Regions from separate parts of the Mus musculus genome. Here all the other regions are reported to be linked to region 1. Evidence: microRNA targets listed by miRTarBase, many of them from high-throughput screens and not tested one by one. Region 1 holds a microRNA gene; each other region holds the end of a gene's coding sequence.
Evidence for each region. The annotated mature microRNA mmu-miR-466a-3p reads UAUACAUACACGCACACAUAAGA and lies in region 1 at 2,234-2,256, opposite strand. An mRNA with a match to its seed (bases 2 to 7 or 8) in the 3' UTR can be bound and repressed. Matches are read on the target gene's strand: a 7mer-m8 pairs with bases 2 to 8, a 7mer-A1 pairs with bases 2 to 7 and ends in A, and an 8mer does both.

Region 2: miRTarBase lists Pafah1b1 as a target of mmu-miR-466a-3p. Seed matches in the 3' UTR shown: 8mer at 3,439-3,446 and 7mer-A1 at 977-983.
Region 3: the mRNA of Txlnb is a reported target of mmu-miR-466a-3p. Seed matches in the 3' UTR shown: 8mer at 3,730-3,737.
Region 4: the mRNA of Ccdc138 is a reported target of mmu-miR-466a-3p. Seed matches in the 3' UTR shown: 7mer-m8 at 811-817 and 8mer at 815-822.

Annotation. Positions count from the first base shown.
Region 1 is chr2:10,493,416-10,498,574 of GRCm38, reverse strand. Mir466b-7 (microRNA 466b-7) reads right to left here and starts at 2,307; the gene lies at 2,220-2,307. All of the region lies in intron 10 of Sfmbt2 (Scm-like with four mbt domains 2), which reads right to left. Mir467a-7 (microRNA 467a-7) reads right to left here and starts at 5,065; the gene lies at 4,983-5,065. It overlaps Mir466b-6 (microRNA 466b-6), which reads right to left and starts at 4,777; the gene lies at 4,688-4,777. It also overlaps Mir669a-9, Mir467a-8, Mir669p-2 and Mir467a-9.
Region 2 is chr11:74,673,104-74,678,262 of GRCm38, forward strand. It overlaps Pafah1b1 (platelet-activating factor acetylhydrolase, isoform 1b, subunit 1), which reads right to left. Exons shown (of 11, transcript NM_013625.4): 11 at 846-4,639. The coding sequence ends at 4,566. Among named protein-coding and RNA genes, the nearest start is that of Cluh, 26 kb to the left of the region's middle.
Region 3 is chr10:17,842,480-17,847,638 of GRCm38, reverse strand. It overlaps Txlnb (taxilin beta), which reads right to left. Exons shown (of 10, transcript NM_138628.3): 10 at 1,976-4,941. The coding sequence ends at 4,159. Among named protein-coding and RNA genes, the nearest start is that of Gm20655, 9.5 kb to the right of the region's middle.
Region 4 is chr10:58,575,083-58,580,241 of GRCm38, forward strand. It overlaps Ccdc138 (coiled-coil domain containing 138), which reads left to right. Exons shown (of 16, transcript NM_001162956.1): 16 at 607-1,162. The coding sequence ends at 772. Among named protein-coding and RNA genes, the nearest start is that of Ccdc138, 80 kb to the left of the region's middle.

The DNA of each region.
Region 1 (5,159 bases):
GTTTGTGAGACCTCACCCTGGCCCAGTCATACATAACCTCCAAAGCAGTAGGTCACATTTCATTCAAATGGATCCGTGAGGGCCATTCCCGCATGTCTGTGTGCATGTGTGTGTAGGTGTGTGTATGTATATGCATAAAATATACACGCATATACATGCAGGCACTTACGCACACAGGCACATACATAGGGGCCATCACATTAGTCCAGGATGATCTCTAACTGCTCATGAAGTTAAGCATGAAATTGAACTCCTGATCCTCCTGACACTGACAATTGTTTACACCTGGTGAGTGAGACCTTCACTGTCCTTCTACTTTATAATCAGCAAAATTCTAAGACATATATCATTCAAATGGATCAAAGAGTGTCATTCTTATGTGTGTGAGTGTGCATGCCTGTGTGTGTGAATACATTTGTATGTGTGTGTATTTATAAGTATGATCATATACACACATGTACGTGCACACACAATTATATGCACTTGTGCATACCTAGGGTCCATCACACAAAAACAGGGTGATCTCTAACTCATTATGAAGTTAAGCATGAATTTGAACTCCTGAGACTCCTAACTCTGGCAAGTGGTTTTCATCTGATAAGTGAGATTATTCACTATACCATGAATATACACTCAATGAAACTCTAAGCACGTATAAATCAAATGGATGACTGCCATGTGTGTTTGTGTGCACATATATGTGTCCCTAGTTGTGTGTATATATACATATGCATGTTCATATACGCGCATGTACAGGCATACTTCCCTATACACATAAACACAAACACAGGGAAAATCACATGAATTCCCGGCTGATCTCTAACTCATCATAAAGTTAAACATGAATTTGAACTACTCATCCTCATGATGCTGGCAAGAGTATTCACCTCCTAACTGATTAATAGCTCGGGCCATTCATGGGAGTATGTTTGCGTGTGAGTATATGCATATTCATATACAGAAGTGATTATGTACACAACTATACACACATGCACATTCTTGGTGGGCATCACATGAATCGCATGCTGAACTCTAACTCATCATGAAGTTAAACATGAATTTGAACTCCTCATCCTCCTGACACTGGCAAGAGTACTCACCTCCTGAGACATAGCTCTGGCCATTCCTATGAATGTGTGTGCATGTGTGTATATGCATATTCATATAGAGAAGTGAATATGCAGACAACTATACACACATGCACATTTTTGGTGGGCATAAGATGAATCCCATGCTGATCATGAACTCATCATGAAATTCAGCACAAATTTGAACTCCTGATCCACCTGACTCTGTCAAGGGACTTCACCTGCTGAGTGAGACCTCTCCCCATTCAGTAATGAGGAATCTTAAAACTCTAAGTCACACGTCATTCAAATGGATCGATGAGTTGCACTGATGTTTGTGTGTGTGTTTCTGTTTGTGTCTGTGTACATGTATATATTTGTGTAGATAGGAACATACATATACTCAAATCCACACAAAATATAAACAGATACAGATAGGGATACATAGGGGGCATCACATGAATCCCAGGCATATCTCTAAGTCATCATGAAGTAAAGCATGAATTAGAACTCCTGATCCACAATCTTTCACACCTGGTGAGTAAAACCGTTCACTGTCCCAGTACTGCATAATCTTTAAAACTTTAAGTCGCATATCATTCAAACGTATAAATGAATGCAATTTTTTTCTCTGTGTCTGTGCTTTCATATACACGTTTGTTTATGTTTTGTATATCATGTCAACAGATGCAATGCATATACAAGTAAACACATATGCACATACATGGATGGCCTCACATGAATACCAGGATGATCTCTAACTGAATTAAGCATGAAGTTGAAATCCTTATCCTCCTGACTTTGTCAATCTTTTACACCTGGTGGGTGAGACCATTCAATGTCCCCTATTGCATAATCTCTAAAACTCTACATCACTTATCATTCAAAGGGATTGGCGAATGCCATTCCTGTGTCTGTGTATGTGTGCTTGCGTTTATACGTGTGTGTGTGTATGTTATGTATATTCAAATATAGACATGAACATGCACACACAACTATACACACATGCACATACATGGAGGAATCACAGGCTGATCTCTCATGAGGATAAGTATGAATTTGAACTCCTGATACTCTTAACTCTAGCAAGCATTTTCACTCTAAGTCACTTATCACGCAAATGGATTGATGAGTGCCATTCCCATGTGTCTGTGTGCTCATATGTGTCTTATGTGTGCGTGTATGTATATGTATATCATATTCACACATGTACATGTACACACACATCAACACATACACATATTCATAGGGGCAATCACATGAATGCCAGGATGACCTCTAACTCATCATGCCTTTACCATGAACTTGCACTCCTGATCTTCCCGACTCTACCAAGGGTTTCCCGTGGTTTGTGAGACCTCACCCTGGCCAGTCATACATAACCTCCAAAGCAGTAGGTCACATATCATTCAAATGGATCCGTGAGGGCCATTCCCGCATGTCTGTGTGCATGTGTGTGTAGGTGTGTGTATGTATATGCATAAAATATACACGCATATACATGCAGGCACTTACGCACACAGGCACATACATAGGGGCCATCACATTATTCCAGGATGATCTCTAACTGCTCATGAAGTTAAGCATGAAATTGAACTCCTGATCCTCCTGACACTGTCAATTGTTTACACCTGGTGAGTGAGACCTTCACTGTCCTACTTTATAATCAGCAAAATTCTAAGACATATATCATTCAAATGGATCAATGAGTGTCATTCTTATTTGTGTGAGTGTGCATGCCTGTGTGTGTGACTACATTTGTATGTGTGTGTATTTATATGTATGATCATATAAACACATGTACGTGCACACAAAATTATATGCACTTGTGCATACCTAGGGTCCATCACACAAAAACAGGGTGATCTCTCACTCATTATGAAGTTAAGCATGAATTTGAACTCCTGAGACTCCTAACTCTGGCAAGTGGTTTTCATCTGATAAGAGAGATTTTTCCCTATACCATGAATATACACTCAATGAAACTCTAAGCACGTATAAATCAAAAGGATGACTGCCATGTGTGTTTGTGTGCACATGTATGTTTCCCTAGTTGTGTGTGTGTGTGTGTGTGTGTATATATATATATATATATATATATATATATATACATATATATATATATATATATGCATGTTCATATACGCGCATGTACACGCACACTTCACCTATACACATAAACACAAACACAGGGAAAATCACATGAATTCCGGGCTGATCTCTAACTCATCATAAAGTTAAACATGAATTTGAATTGCTCATCCTCATGATGCTGGCAAGAGTATTCACCTCCTAACTAAGTCATAGCTCGGGCCATTCGTGGGAGTATGTTTGCATGTGAGTATATGCATATTCATGTACAGAAGTGAATATGTACTCAACTATACACACATGCACATTCTTGGTGGGCATCACATGAATCGCATGCTGAACTCTAACTCATCATGAAGTTAAACATAAATTTGAATTCCTCATCCTGACACTGACAAGAGTGCTCACCTCCTAACTGAGACATAGCTCTGGCCATTCCTATGAATGTGTGTGCATGTGTGTATATGCATATTCATATAGAGAAGTGAATATGCACACAACTATACACACATGCACATTTTTGGTGGGCATAAGATGAATCCCATGCTGATCATGAACTCATCACAAAATTCAGCACGAATTTGAACTCCTGATCCACCTGACTCTGTCAAGGGATTTCTCCTGCTGAGTGAGACCTCTCCCCATTCAGTAATGAGGAATCTTAAAACTCTAAGTCACATATCATTCAAATGGATCGATGAGTTGCATTCATGTTTGTGTGTGTGTTACTGTTTGTGTCTGTGTACATGTATATATTTGTGTAGATAGGTACATCCATATACTCAAATCCACACACAATAGAAACAGATACAGATAGGGATACATAGGGGGCATCACATGAATCCCAGGCATATCTCTAAGTCATCATGAAGTAAAGCATGAATTAGAACTCCTGATCCACAATCTTTCACACCTGGTGAGTAAAACCATTCACTGTCCCACTACTGCATAATCTTGAAAACTTTAAGTCACGTATCATTCAAACGTATAAATGAATGCAATTTTTTCCTGTGTGTGTGTGCTTGCATATACACGTGTGTTTATGTTATGTATATCATGTCAACACATACAATGCACATACAAGTAAGCACACATGCACATACATGGGTTGCATGACATTAATACCAAGATGTCTCCAAATGAAGTTAAGCATGAATTTGCAATCCTTATCCTCCTGACTTTGTCAATCGTTTACACCTGGTGAGTGAGGACATTCAATGCCCCCTATTGCATAATCTCTAAAACTCTACATCACTTATCATTCAAAGGGATTGGCGAATGCCATTCCTGTGTCTGTGTATGTGTGCTTGCGTTTATACGTGTGTGTGTATGTTATGTATATTCAAATATAGACATGAACATGCACACACAACTATACACACATGCACATACATGGAGGAATCACAGGCTGATCTCTCATGAGGATAAGTATGAATTTGAACTCCTGATACTCTTAACTCTAGCAAGCATTTTCACTCTAAGTCACTTATCACTCAAATGGATTGATGAGTGCCATTCCCATGTGTCTGTGTGCTCATATGTGTCTTATGTGTGCGTGTATGTATATGTATATCATATTCACACATGTACATGTACACACACATCAACACATACACACATACATAGGGGCAATCACATGAATGCCAGGATGACCTCTAACTCATCATGCCTTTACCATGAACTTGCACTCCTGATCTTCTCGAATCTACCAAGGGTTTTCCTGTGGTTTGTGAGACCTCACCCTGGCCCAGTCATACATAACCTCCAAAGCAGTAGGTCACATTTCATTCAAATGGATCCGTGAGGGCCATTCCCGCATGTCTGTGTGCATGTGTGTGTAGGTGTGTGTATGTATATGCATAAAATATACACGCATATACATGCAGGCACTTACGCACACAGGCACATACATAGGGGCCATCACATTATTCCAGGATGATCTCTAACTGCTCATGAAGTTAAGCATGAAATTGAACTCCTGATCCTCCTGACACTGACAAT
Region 2 (5,159 bases), not on the chromosome of region 1:
TTCCAAGTCCTGCTCTGAGACATTTGACCTGGAGACACTTATCTTCAGCCTTGTTAGGCTAATCTGGAGGACATGTTCAAAAGGCTGCCTGTACTGGCTATTAGTATGTCTTGAGGTGGGGGGCTAGAATATACATGTCTAACGAGGATATGTTGACTCAGAAGCAGAAAATTGCTGCTAGCAGTTGAATTCATGTCTGCACAAGTTCTCACCAGACTAACCAGGAAGGAAGGATGCAGCCGGCATCCTGCACAGAGCTATCTCCCTGCCTTCAGGACAGAGGCCAACATGTGATCCACAACCAGTTTCCAAATTCACAACAGGATATGATATTTAAGTTAGAACTCCACCAGAGGGAAATCGGTCAGGTCTAGTAGAAAAACTGGCCAAGTACAGCCCTGCTTCTTTTGGTTGGGAAGACACCTTCCAACAGGAGGCACCAGCACGAGACAGAGCACCTAGAACAAAGTGAAGACTTACTCTGGTATATTTCATAAAACCTGACATTAAGGATGTTTATCTCCAAGGTAAGAGATGATAAATACAAAATGGGCAGGGCCCTCATCTCTGGAATTGAGTCTGTATCTCTAAGAGACAGTAAGTGTGCTTAGCTGTGCAGTGCAGTCAGTAGTTCTAGTTAGGCTCAAGCCTATGGCTACGAGAGACCTACCTACATGCTGCTCCCTCCAGATAAGGGGTAGACAACAGCAAAAGGCAGTGGTAGCACAGCTCTGTTGCTTATGGCCAACTAACATTCTTTCTGTTGCTGGTGCCCAAGTCTCACTTCCTGCCAAGATCAACACAACCTCACCCCCAATGACCATTGAAAAAAACCCCACCAGATCTAGTTTTATAGGCATTTAATAGTTTACCAATTGGTACAATAAGATTTTTAATATGCAGAAAACATGGATAAATTTTGTTTTACACAGTCTGAGAGCAACAAATCTTACTGTAAAACACAAGAGCAATATTATATACATTCCTTTACTGATTTTTAAAATTTTGTCGATATCTTCGGTGAACTCTTAACAATCTGGGAACTGTTTTCTCCAATGACCACCTCTGCAACGTTCATATGAAATCAATGTTTGCCTTCATGTCAGTGTCAGGACCGGCTTCTAACTCGTAGAGTTTGTGTTTATTTCTAACGTCTTCAGAGTGAGCTTTGGGGATGCCTGAAGGATAAGCAGGCAAGAAAGCAGCTACTTACATGATACAGTGAAAGGATAAAAAGGCCCGTCCAGTCGTGACTTGTGAGTCCAGCTTACCCCATCCCACCCAACCCAGCCCACTGGAAAAAACCCAAAACCTTTCTTGCAATTTTGCCCATGTTGCTTGTCTACCATGACATTCCTTTTTGCACCATCTAGATTAATCAACACACTGGGTTTATATACAGCTGGACAGGAAGAGTAACCTTTTCAAGTGCCTTTTCCTTCTATTTCAACTTGTTGCTTAAGGATTATCAAGCCACCACTGTCAACAAACAAAATGTCCTTATTTTTAAATAGTTTTTTTCTTTTAAATTAAAAAACAAACAACAAAAAAATAAACTTTAGTGAGTGGTATTATCTGGAAGTTCACAAAGAACAGAAAGAGGCAAACAGGAGACTGGGCTTGGTGAGCCTAAAGCCAAAGCTTCCAAAGGACTAATAGTGCATCACGGCCCGGGACGGCTTGCTAATACTAGTGATTGTGGGTAGTGCTCTGAGCACACCATTGGTCACACCACATGCAGACAGAACAGGACGGTCTTAGTCTCCTAAAGTGCAAGATGTCATGTGAAAAGCAACTATTCTTCAGGTCATGTCTACACAAACCAACCTGCAGCTTGCACTCTCCATGCGGTTAGGACTTCTTGGGCACGCTGTGCTATAGGTGGCACTGGAATGTCTGTTTACACACACAATCAACAACCATCCGAGTACACAATTCTATCAGCTTTTTATTTAGTAAGCAGCCAATCTGACTCAAGAAAGTAACAAAGCAGCAGTGAACCGCTAACCAATTCATAAAGTCCTCTACTTACAACCCAAACCAGTAACTTTATCATTGTCCTTATCCCAGGCAAGGCACAGGGTTAGACAGCAGACAGAGAAAACAGTAACATAAGAGTAAGGGCATCAACAGGGCAGTGTCAAACAACAGTGTGAGAAACCTTTGCAAATCCGATGCCAGATGTGGATGTTGCCCCGCCACCCTTCATTATTCAAACAGGGCTCGTTAAGTTTGGATCCAGCTGTGGACCATCCCTGAGATTCAATGTTTTCTGCTGCTTAAATGGATGATGTCTGGTAACTCAGCTAAGCAGCAGGCTGTGGCATTCTCCCAAGTAAGGACAGCTTTGTTACAGAGCACTCTCTCCTCCGTTGTCAGTGAGTCACTGCTGCAGGGGAGGAAACCCAGCAGCTTTGCTCCTCTACATTGGTACCATTCTTTATTGTTTCTATGAATGATGTCTAGATGTTGTGGCTTACCCTTAAACAATTCATGTTGCTACATGCTAAAACTGAATTAAAAAACAAGACATTTTAACACATACAAACAAATGTTAAGATGCACCATTTCTATGTATTTATATTCTTGAAATAGGACAGGAAATAGCAGCAAATGAGAACGAAGGTATTTTCTATAGCTTTTGGAGAAAAATCCAGTCAGAACAGCTAGGAGAAAAAGACTTCTTAATGTAAGCAGGGCTGTGAGGCAATGTTGTCCTAAAAGCCAACCTACAGTGTTGTTTATGGGAGTCACGATGGAGTTTTTGTCCTCAAAAATAACCACTTAATTCTCAAAACACTTTTCCTTTCTAGAGAAATCTCTGAGGAATATTAAGAACAAACAAGTGAACAAACAAAAGCACACAAGCTAGACAGTGAGCTTCTGTCAGAGCCTAATCTCTTGTGTATATCTACAGGACATTAATTCTCACCCTTTGTCCTTTCAGGAACCAAATTTCCATTCAATACTTAAAGGGATTTTTAAAAAATCTATTATACAAACGAATAAAATGCAGTCCAGAAAAAAAAAATTATCATTGTTAGACTGTCACTGTTATGTCATTGTTTCTGTTAACCTTTCAAATTGATTTTCTTAAAAAGAAAAAAAAGTTGATTAGCTAGGTGATAAATTCTTTATTAAAAATTGACAATGGAATAGTGTTCCAAAAGTCATGGGCAAAATTCTCTTAAACCTACTGTAGAAACTCTGGATCAAAATATACAGCCTATGAGGAATGCGTAACATGGTGACTGGCCACATTAGAGGGGAGAACAAAGGAAGTGACTTTCTCTTAGAAAAGCTCCTCAGAGTCAGAAACAGCAGAAGAGTTTAGCATGGCTGTGGTTGGTGTTCCCCAGCAAGATTTACTCTATGCGTAAGTTTTAGCACTTCTTCAAAAACTTAAGACCCAACAACATGGAGGTTATATGTGTGTGATATACATATATAGACATATCCACTTACAGATAGGCCCATATACTTATAAACATTTACATATAAACAAAACATGAGAAAAAAAAAACCCAGTATATTCTATGCACGCTTCATTACACCCTGTCACTTTTTTTTATAGCTTGTAAGTGAAACAGTTCGAATTGTTATCAGGGTCATGTTGGAAACTGTTCCTTCCACTCCTTTAAAATGCGCACCCAGCTTTGTCAGCATTCATAATTCTGACATGCACATTGCACATCCCTAAAAACATCATAAACACATAGTGATCTGTACCATAACACTCAATGGGAAGATCAAATTCTACTGGGGAGTCACATCACTACACAGTCCAACAGTCTGGAGAATACAACTCGCATGTCTAGTGTGAAGAGAAGCCTAAAGTAGGACAGTGCTTCCTGACCTGTTTACAAAGCAGTAAGACCCAAATGAAAAAGGATTCACTATTAGCTGCTGAGATTTTTCTTGAGAATTACGATCATTTTCTTACATAAATAAACCACTAGCCTTTGCTTGATAGGCTGCCAAAACAAACATATCCTATTGATTTGGCAAAGGGGTCATGACAAAAACTTCATGTGTAATCCCCATTACACAGATGGAGCAAAGATTCTGAATTGCAGTCTTATTATCTAACACCCTTAAAGATTTAGTAAGCACACTTAAGTGATGTTACATAGATACACATTTCAGAAAAAGCCCTAATAACCACCACTTTCCCCAAAATGAGGCCATCAAGTCAGGCACCAACAGATAGCAGGAAGAAAAACAGTAATTAATAATCCAACATAAAATGACACTGTCAACTATTCAGTTTAGTGCCCTAGTTCAATTTATTTAACTTCTGCCCTTGTAGGCCTGGTGTGACCAATGCCAGCCCAGGTTTTTAAACCCTATGGTACTTCTAGACAACATATGTAAATTTACAGTATACAATTTGGATTCACCATGCATGAATACTTTGTGTGTAACATTTAATAAGTTCAATCTACATCCAGAATAATTTACATGAAAGGACAATATTTATTTAAACAGAGCTCAAATGGGGTAACCATGGTATCATCAGAGTGCATCCAGAGGAAAAAAGGGAGGAAGAACCAAATGTGACTCAATCAACGGCACTCCCACACCTTTACTGTTTGATCTACACTGCCAGTAACCACATAGGGTGCCGTCTTATGGAAATCTGAAAGAGAAAAGAAAAGGCTTGTTTTCAAACCATACTAAGCCAGACAGAATGCTTTGCTTGCTTTTTGAGCAGTATATTTTATATAAGCCCAGCAGGCCTTGTACTTGATTCCCTCCAGGTCAGCTTCCCAAGCTCTGGGAGTCTATGAACCTCTGCCTCCACACTTGAATACAATGTCCACGATTTTCTCCATATACATACCCATCCATATCTCTAAAATTACTGAGCTTACCAACTGGATTAGGAATGTTGAAACTCAATTATTAAATTCCACTCGATGTCACTAGTATCATCCCAAACAATGCTCAAACCTACTAACAAGTGCATATTCACCCAGCATATTGATTTACTGAATGTTGTGCTTCAGGCTTAGTACTAATGCAACACTCCTGCCCAATTTACCAAGGGCTTTATTGTCACCATAAGGTCCATCCATCATACCCTAGTACATTACAATTTACTGAATTCACTGTTATCAACTCCAGATGATACTGAGGACATGACGTTTATACAATTC
Region 3 (5,159 bases), not on the chromosome of region 1:
GAGAACAGGGCTTATCTGCTCAGCAATGAAGAGGGATTATTTGCTGCATTGTGGCATGACTGAACCTACCAAAAGATGCTAGCTCAGGTCTCTTTTCCCTTATAGAAGCCACTAACATCATGATGAATGTCCTAGTCACAACTTCTAATATTTGTTTTTGCTCCTGTTGTTTTTCGAAACAGGGTTTCTCTGTTTAACAGTCTAGGCTGTTGCAACCTAACTCTGTAGACCAGGCTGACCTCAATCTCACAGGGATCTGCCTGTCTCTGCCTCCTGAGTTCTGGGATTAAAGGCATGGGCCACCACATCCTGCTACAACTTCTAATCTTAATTACTTTCTAAAGGCCCTACCTACAAACCCATGTGACTTTGGAGATTAAGCTTCTAGCAATTGTGCTTGCAGGAAATGATGTCAAGCTATGCATGTGGGCATCCTGTTTGGGCCTCTTCTTTCACAGTGGTTTTTGTTACAGCCTTATTGCTATGATCTCTCCCCCTCCCTCTACTCCTTAGCCCCTCCCCCTTCATAGCATGTATATGTATATCCTCAAAGGATTTATTACATATACATTTTATTTAGAAAGCCCAAACTCAACCAAAAATAGAATAATGCCATATTTTAATTAGGTATTCTTAAATCATGGGAAAATATAGCCCCCCCCCAAAAAAAAGGAATTAAAAAATCCCACACTTTGGTCTTCCTTCCTACTGAGCTTCAAGTGGTCTGTGATTTGTATCCTGGTTATTTGGAGCTTTTGGGCTAGTATCCACTTATCAGTGAGTGCATACCATGTGTGTTCTTTTGCAATTGTGTTAACTCACTCAGGATGATATTTTCTAGTTCTATCCATTTGTCAAAAATTTCATGAATTCATTGTTTTTAATTGCTAAGTAGTACTCAATTGTGTAAATGTACCATATTTTTTTTATACATTCCTCTTTTGAGGGACATCTGGGTTCTTTCCAGCTTCTGGTTACTATACAGGCTTCTATGAACATAGTGGAGAATGTGTTCTTATTGAATGTTGGAGCATCTTCTGGGTATATGCCCAGGAGTGGTATGGCTGGGTCCCCAGGTAATACTATGTCCAGTTTTCTGAGGAACCACCAAACTGATTTCCAGAGTGGTTGTACCAGCTTGCAATCCCACCAACAATGGAGGAGTGTTTCTCTTTCTCCATATCCTCACCAGCATCTGCTGTCACTTGAGTTTTTGATCGTTAAAATAGTTATTTGGTTCTCTGAAGTCTAACTTCTTGAGTTCTTTGTATATATTGGATATTAGCCCTGTATCAGATATAGGAGAACAAAATACTCACAGGAACAAATATGGAGATAATGTGTAGAGCAGAGACTGAAGGTAAGGTCACCCAGAGACTGTCCCACCTGGGGATTTATCCTGTATACAGTTACCAAACTCAGACATTATTATGGATGCCAAGAAGTGCATGCTGAAAGGAGCCTGATATGGCTGTCTCCTGAGAGGCCCTGCCATAGCCTTACAAATACAGAGGCAGATGTTAGCAGCCAACCATTGGACTGAGCATGGGGTCCCTAATAGAGGAGTTAGAGAAGGGACTGAAGGAGTTGAAGGGGTTTGCAACCCTATAGGAAGAACAACAATATCAACCAACCAGACCCCCCCCCCCCAGATCTCCCAGGGACTAAGCCATCAACAAAGGAGTCCACATGGTTCCAGCTGCATATGTAGCAGAGGTTGGCCTTGTCATGAATCAATGGGAGGAGAGGTCCTTGGTCTTATGAAGGCTCAATAGATGCCCCAGTATAGGGGAAATGAGAGCAGGGAGGTGGAGTGGGTGGGTGGATGGAGGAACACCCTCATAGAAGCAGTGGGAGAGAGGATGTGATAGATTGTTTCTGGGAGAGAGGGAAACCAGGAAAGGGGATAACATTTGAAATGTAAATAAAGAAAATATCCAATAAAAAATAATTTAAAAAACCTACTAGAAAACTTGGAAGAAATGCCTTTTTAATTGGTATAAACATTATGTTATTACATTTAGAAAGCAATAATTCCAGTGTTTCTAGAAAGACTTGGCATCTCTAAAAATAGTTATATGAACTTCATAAAAAGAGATATATTTTCTGCTTTCAGATCTTATGAGTTGTTATGATTAGTACAGCCAAGTTTGAACACAAGGAACTATAATAAAACATTCTTTTACTATTAAAATAATTCTCCCAAAGTCTATATTAAAGCTTTACAGATTTCAGGGAAGGTGTAGTCTGTGAAACTGTGCCAAAGGTACACACAGTTGTGAGTGATATGTTGCTGTGAAACCCTCTTGGATGAAAATAATAAACTTTGGATATGAGAACACTTAATTTATTGGATGTCAGTGCCTCCTGCCTGTTTGTCTTCCTAAGCTCTTGGATTGAGACCTAACTGTGATGATCCTACTCTGTTCTTTGAAGCTCAGCTCCTGTAAACAGAGAGAAGGGATTAGTGTAGTGAATATTTGGCTTTGAGTTAATTGAATGTCTAATTTCCAGTGGTGTTGAACTTGGCTGGATACCCGTGTGGTTATAATATGCAAAGCCTCTGAAAACACATGGGTTCTCAAATAATGGCATGCTTTTTCCCCTGATTTTTTCCCCAAATGGTATTTTTGTTCTTTCCCTTACTGTCTACTTCAAATAAATTTTATACAGTTTTATAATTCCTTCAACATATGGCTACTGCCTCCCAGCTCCTCGTGTGCATTGGCAAGCAGCCACGTGCACCACTGAAGAGTGATTTCCTGGATGAGTTTTCAAGAATCCTCCTTTATCCACATTTCTACCTGTGTTCAACTTCTTAACATAGAGTTAGATTAGACCGTCCTCTCTTTATGCACCTTCTGTCTCCCTCCTTCCCACCTCTCCCTGTTCTGTTAGTACAGTTTTCTTTGAGCCTAGGCAGAGCATTTTATGCTGCCAGTGTTATTAGAGGTTTTTGCGAACAATGAGAGTATAAAACTTGTTTGGGTAATCCCAAGTGCTTCTTGCTTTTGACATCTATGGAGTCCTTGCCTGTTATTTTTGAATTATGAGTAGGAGGCCCCCCCCCCCTTTTAAAAATTTTGTACTTCTGCCTGTTCAAAAATTCTTAGAGCAGAAAATGTGTTAGCTTTGTAAGCCTTGTTACTCCTATTGAGAGCTCGTATGTATTTCCGTTTTGGAAAAATACATTTTACTTAACATTAATTGAGATGTGGGCCAGGCACACACATTGACGCAAAGGAGGAAATTTGGAAGGAATAGATGCTTTGAGATAAAGACAATGTCAGAGACAACAAAAAGTGTTTTCTTGAGATATCAGTAGTCAAAGAGGCTGAGACCTCTAAGCTGAGGATACTCAACCTCTCAAATCTTACTTAGGTGCTTTCTCTATTTCCAACCACCTTCTCACAGGTAGCCAGGAGGCGGCTGCCTCAACCCAGGAGGTGATGCTGGGAAGTTGGGAGGAAGTTGGCTGAGAAGATCAGAAGCACCTGTTTGTGTTTTTTCCCCTTTCTGTTAAAAGCCTCTTGTGGTCCTCTTTGTGTCCAGGCATTGTAGCACATGTGCTATTTCTGATCCATAGAGCTTTAATCTACTGTAGTCCAGAGTGTAAGTAAGATAGAAAAATTTTTACAAGCATATCTTGCAATAGAGAAAAATCTGTTAGGAGCAAAATATACTTGTGTGATGACTTTATATGCACGTATGAAAATACATGTGTATGTGTATACATAAATGTATTTATGTGTATTGTGTATACACATAAGTACACTGTATATTATGCTATTTAAATGGAACCTGGATATCCATTATAGATCTTATTGGGTTATTTGTGGAAATAAATGTAATATTTCAGTGTATTTATTTGTTATAGTGGGAGTCCTTAAATACAAAATCTTACTGCTAACAAACTGGATTAAGGCACCAATGTAATGGGAAAGTAATGTATATTTGCTATTGATGTGTTTGGCTGCCAAATCACAGAGAATTTCCATATTAGTTATAAATTGCAAACAGCAGCAAAGACTGGAAGTGTTCTGTACAACTTTAAAAATGTCTTGACTCTAACTCTTCCTAGTCCTAGAAGTTTCTTTCACAGACTTTCTTCTGTGAGGAAGATGCAGTCAGGTGAGCAGCCAGAAGAATCAACAAGGCTTAGTCTACTCCATTCAGACAAGCATCGGGCTCTCTGGGGAGTCCAGTGGAAGGGCCTACGGGGATGTCTGTGACTTCTGGTGGGGGCTGCTCCCTAGACTCACAGCCGGGCACCACAGCAGAATCTCCCTCACTCTCTGGAGATGGTGAAATATCATATTTTGCCTCTACTACAGATAGGGAGCCCTGGGCTGGGGACAGTGGGGCCTGACCAGAAGTGTTTGCCTCTGGTTTATGGGGCTTCGGACCCGGGGTATTTTCTGCAGGGAGACCCTGACTTTGTAGCTCTGCCTCTGCAGGGGTACAGGAGGCTGTAGGGGCAGGTGTGGCCTCACAGACGCCCTCCGCCACAGCCTGAGCACCTACAGGGGGCCGAGGACTCCCTGAATCAGCGGGAAGGCTGGGATGGTTTAAACGGGCTGTTTCGGGGTGCTGGTGGGTGACATCACTTCCACTTTGAGGACCATTCACTGCCAGCTGTCTTTCCGTTGGTTGGTCTGGGGTGAACTCTGGATGATGAAGGATGGTAAAAGCTGTGGCCAGGTTTTCCACAGCTTTTTGAAAACTGTTGGCTTCCTCTGCGTCCACCTCTTCATTTTCAGAGACGCTTGGCTCTGGCTCTTCCTCAGAGGTGCGCTGAACCTGGTCTTCCTTTTCGGACATTTTTGCTTCTCTGATTTTCTTGTAGAGTTCCTTTCTCTCCTCTTGTAAAGCACGACACAGGTTCTCCAGCCTTTGGATTTTCATCACGAAACACTCGTATTCTTTAGCTCGCAGGGCTTTCTGTGACATAAATGCACACACACACACACACACACACACACACACACACGACATGAGCAGTGAATTTCTCACGATGCTGTCCAGAAACAAAACTAGAATTTGCCTACTACGTTTGAACAAACATTTCGGGACATCTCTTTGTTTTTCTGATGTTTTGATTATTAGACTAAAAGACTTTTAATTACTATTGCCTGTTCTTTGGGAAATAAACCTATTAA
Region 4 (5,159 bases), not on the chromosome of region 1:
TCTGTTTTACATTTAAGATACAATTCTAACTAAAACGAAATTACTGAATGCCTTCTCTTCCTCCTCTTCCTTCTTCTTTCTCTTCCTGCTCTTCCTCCTCTTCTTTTCTTCTTTTCCCCCCTTCTCCTATTTCTTCTTTTGTTTTGTAAGACAAGGTCTCTCTATGTAGCCCTGACTATCCTAGAACTTGCTGTGTAGCCCAGGCTGTCCTGGACCTCAGATCTGCCTACCTGATTAAAGAGTACGCAGCACTGCACAGAGCCCAAGTGTCTGTGAGGGAGGAAAAGCAGCGCATTCATTGTAGATCCCTCAGGTAACAGTTAGGTTCTGGCCAGCTGGGAAGCAGGGCTTCCTTGTACCTAGTAGATTTTTTTTTTTTTCTATTAGTAAACAGGGATCAGTTTTCAGGATATAAACAGTTTTCTTTTTTGCCTTTAATGTCTTTCCACTCTGGCCTTAACTCCTAAAACCTAGTTTTCTTAGTATCTTAATCCTGTAGTCAGCCATTTTCTCCATTGTTCTTAAAAAGCAAGTGCTATTTCCTCACATTTGCATACGTTCTCTCAAGTTTATAAGCAATTAAATAATGTGCCCATTCTTTTACAGGAGTAACAAGAAGCTCTTTGAAGTTTTTACCATTCACCTAATGCTTCAGGAAATACAAAGGACAACACATCCAGAGCACGCCTTTCTCTGTATTAATCTGAATTCAACTCTGTTCAACCTGGGTTTGACAAAATGTAACTCCCTGGTCACTAGTACAAGCCATTAGAAAAATGTGTGTGTGTGTGTGTGTGTGTGTGTGTGTGATATGTATGTATATGTGTTCTTTATTTGTAAAAGTGGAAAAATCACTAAAATACAATTCCTCAGAGTAAAATTATTAACAGCATCATTTATCATGAAAGATATCTAGAAAGATTTTTCAGCAACGTAAATGAGACCCGTAGAAGGTATGGCTGTTTTAGAATGTTTCAGTTTAAGGTAATACTAATGTACAAGATGACTTTTCCAGAATTCAAGGCATCAGGGTTAGAATTCAAAGCAATAGGGTTACAGTTTGTAAAAATATTTTAGGAAAAGTCTTCTTGAAATTATGTGATTATTTGGAATATAATTTGTCCTTATGTGGAAATAAACTATGTTATCATTTTTCCCTTAATATAGTAGAGTCCCTTCTTTTGATAACATTTTTTCTTAAAGGCAGGGTTTTTATGTAGTGCTGGGTGTCCTGGGACTGGATGTATAAATCACGCTGACCTGGAACTTATAGCCTCCTACCTCTGCCTTCTAAGTGCTGGACTAAAGGCATACACCACCACACCAGGTAAGTACTTATCTTGTATTTGTTCATTCTGTTTTTCCTTTACCTTTATTTGCATTGTGGTTGTTGGGCAGGTACTGTTCTCAAGCCCAAGAGTGTATATGGCTTATACAGTATTATGAAATTGGGTGCATATGTGTTAACAGTCATTATGACCTCTTGATGTTCTCTTAAACAACAGGAAGTGACCATCTTTATCCTTTTCCACTAGTTCTGGTTTGAGCCTGTTCTGTTAGATGTTAGAACACTGGCATTTGCCTCTTAGGTCCATTTATTTGGAGCATCTCTTGGTATCTGTCCTACTTAGCTTTTTATTGCTGTGATAGCACACTGACCAAAAGCAACTGGGGAGGAAAGGACTCTTATCTCACACTTGTACATCATAGCCTGAGGACAGCCAGGGCTGTGACTGAAGCAGGAACCTGGAGGCAGGAGCTGAAGCAGAGATCATGGAGGAATGCTGCTTACTGCCTTGCTCCCCATGGCTCACTAGTCTTTTTTATACAACCCTGGAATGCCTGTCAAGGAGTTACTCCTCCCATAGTTGTCTGGGCCCCCCAACATCACCCATTTCTCAAGAAAATGTCCCACACACTTGCCTACTAACCAGTACAGGCTGGGTAAGCATCTCTATCCCTAACTTTAGAAAACTGTCTTTTTTTTTTTCTTTAATGTTTTCTATGCCTTTAGAACTAGATTCCCTTTCTATGCCTATTGCTCAAAGGTTTGATCTTTCCAGAGTGTCACATATGTCATGGATTTCCCACTGACATCTTCTGATTTTTATCCCTGCTTGATTATTCCAGTTCTATACTTTATCTTTAAGCTCAGGTAGTCTGTCTTCTATTTGATCCATTCTGTTTCTGAGATTTTCTACAGAGCTTCTTCTATGAATTAGTATGTTTGTCATTTCCAACAGTTCAGATTATTTTTTTCTTCAATATTTCTGAGTCTTTTCAAACTTCCCCTTTCCTCCTGGTCTGCATTAGTTTCCTTGTGCCAGTCCTACAACACCCAGAGGGGGCTCCACTCCCAGGCACTCTAACACCTAGGATCACAGGATCACAGGAGCTTGGTCACACCAGTTTTTCAGGGTCCCAGAGGCAGCTTGACTCCCAGGAACTCTGACATACCCAGGATCTCAGGATCACAGGATCCCAGAATCACAGGATCACAGAGACAGCTGGACTCTGAGGAGTTCTGACACAACCAGAATTACAGGAAGGACAGGCTTCAGTCAGATAGCACTAGAGATAATCAGATGTTGAGAGGCAAGCTTAAGAACATAAGCAACAGAAGCCAAGGTTACTTGGCATCATCAGAACCCAATTTTCCCACCATCGCAAGTTCTGGATACACCATCACAGAAAAAGTAAGATTCAGATCTAAAATCACTTTTCATGACACTGATAGAGGACTTCAAGAAGGACATAAGTAACTCCCTTAAAGAAATACAGGAGAACACAGGTAAACAGGTAGAAGCCCTTAAAGAGGAAGCACAAAAATTCCTTAAACAATTACAGGAAAACACAATCAAACAGGCGAAGGAAATGAACAAAGCCACCCAAGATCTAAAAAATGGAAATAGAAACAATAAAGAAATCACAAAGGGAGACAACCCTGGAGTTAGAAAACCTAGGAAAGAGATCAGGAGTCATAGATGCAAGCATCACCAACAGAATACAAGAGATAGAAGAAAGAATCTCAAGGGCAGAAGATACCATAGAAAACATTGACACAACAATCAAAGAAAATGCAAAAAGCAAAAATCTCCTAATCTAAAACATCCATGAAATCCATGACACAATGAGAAGACCAAACCTAAGGATAATAGGTATAGAAGTTTCCTAAACTAAAGAAAGAGATGCACATGAACATACAAGAAGCCTACAGAATTTCAAATAGACTGGCCCAGAAAAGCAATTTCTCCTGTCACATAATAATTAAAGCACCAAATGCATTAAACAAAGAAAGAATATTAAAAGCATTAAGGGAAAAAGGTCAAGTAACATATTCAGGCAGATCTATCAGAATTACATTAGACTTTTCAACAGAGACTATGAAAGCTACAAGATCCTGGGCAGATGTCATACAGACCCTAAGAGAACATAAATGCCAGCCCAGACTACTATACCCAGCAAAACTATCAATTACCATAGACCGAGAAAACAAGATATTCGATGACAAAACCAAATTTACACATTATCTTTCTACAAATCCAGCCCTACAAAGAATAATAGATGGAAAACACCAACACAAGGAGGGAAACTACACCCTAGAAAAAGCAAAAAAGTAATCTTTCATCAAACCTAAAAGAAGATAGCCACACAAACATAATTCCACCTCTAACAACAAAAATAACAGGAACTAACAATCACTATTCCTTACTATCTCTTAACATCAATGGACTCAATTCCCCAATAAAAAGACATAGGCTAACAGACTGGATACATAAACAGGACCCAGCATTTTGCTGCATACAGAAAATGCACCTCAGTGACAAAGACAGACACTGCCTCAAAGTAAAAGGCTGAAAAACAATTTTTCCAAGCAAATGGTCCCAAGAAACAAGCTGGACTAGCCATTCTAATATTGAATAAAATCGACTTTCAACCGAAAATCAGAAAAGATAAGGAAGGACACTTCCTACTGGTCAAAGAAAAAATCTACCAAGATGAACTCTCAATTCTGGACATCTATGCTCCAAATGCAAGGACACCCACATTCAGAAAAGAAACTTTTTACTAAAGCTCAAAGGACACATCATATCCCACACAATAATAGTGGGAGACTTTAACACCCCAACTCTCAGCAATGGACAGATTATGGAAACAAACTAAACAAGGACACAGTGAAACTAACAGAAGTTATGAACCAAATGGATCTAACATATTTATAGAACATTCCATCCTAAAGCAAAAGAATATGCCTTCTTGTCAGCACCTCATGGTACCTTCTCCAAAAATGACCATATAATTGGTCACAAAACAGGTCTCAACAAATACAAGAAGATTAAAATAATCCCATGTACCCTATCAGATCACCACAGAATAAGACTGGTCTTAAATTTCAACAAAGACAATGGATAACACACATACACATGGAAACTGAACAAACTACTCAGTGATAACTTGGTCAAGGAAGAAATAAAGAAAATAAAGGCTTTTTAGAATTTAATCAAAATGAAGACACATCATACCAAAACCTATGGGACACAAAGCAGTGGTAAGAGGAAAACTCATAGCTCCAAAGTGCCTCCAAAAAGAAACTGGAGAGAGCTTACACTAGCAGCTTGACAGCACACCTGAAAATCTCTAGAACAAAAAGAGCAAATACACCCAAGAGGAGTAGACAGCAGGAAATACTCAAACTCAGGGCTGAAATCAACCAAATAGAAACAAAAAGAACTATACGAAGAATCAACAAAACCAGGAGCTAGTTCTTTGAGAAAACAAGACAGATAAACCCTGAGCCAGATTAACCAGAAGGCACAGAGACAGAATCCAAATTTATAAAATCAGAAATGAAAGGGGATGCACAACAATGGAAACTGTGGAAATCTAAAGAAATCATCATATCCGACTACAAAAGTTTATATTCAACTAAATTGGAAAATCTGGATGAAATGGACAATTTTCTAGACAAATACCAGGTGCCAAAGTTAAAACAGGATCAGATAAACTAAACAGTCCCATAACCCTTGAAGAAATAAAAGCAGTCATTAATAGTCTCCCAACCAAAAAAAGCCCAGGACCAGATAGGTTTAATGGAGAATTCTATCAGACCTTTAAAGACCTAATACCAATACTCTTCAAACTATTCCACAAAATAGAAA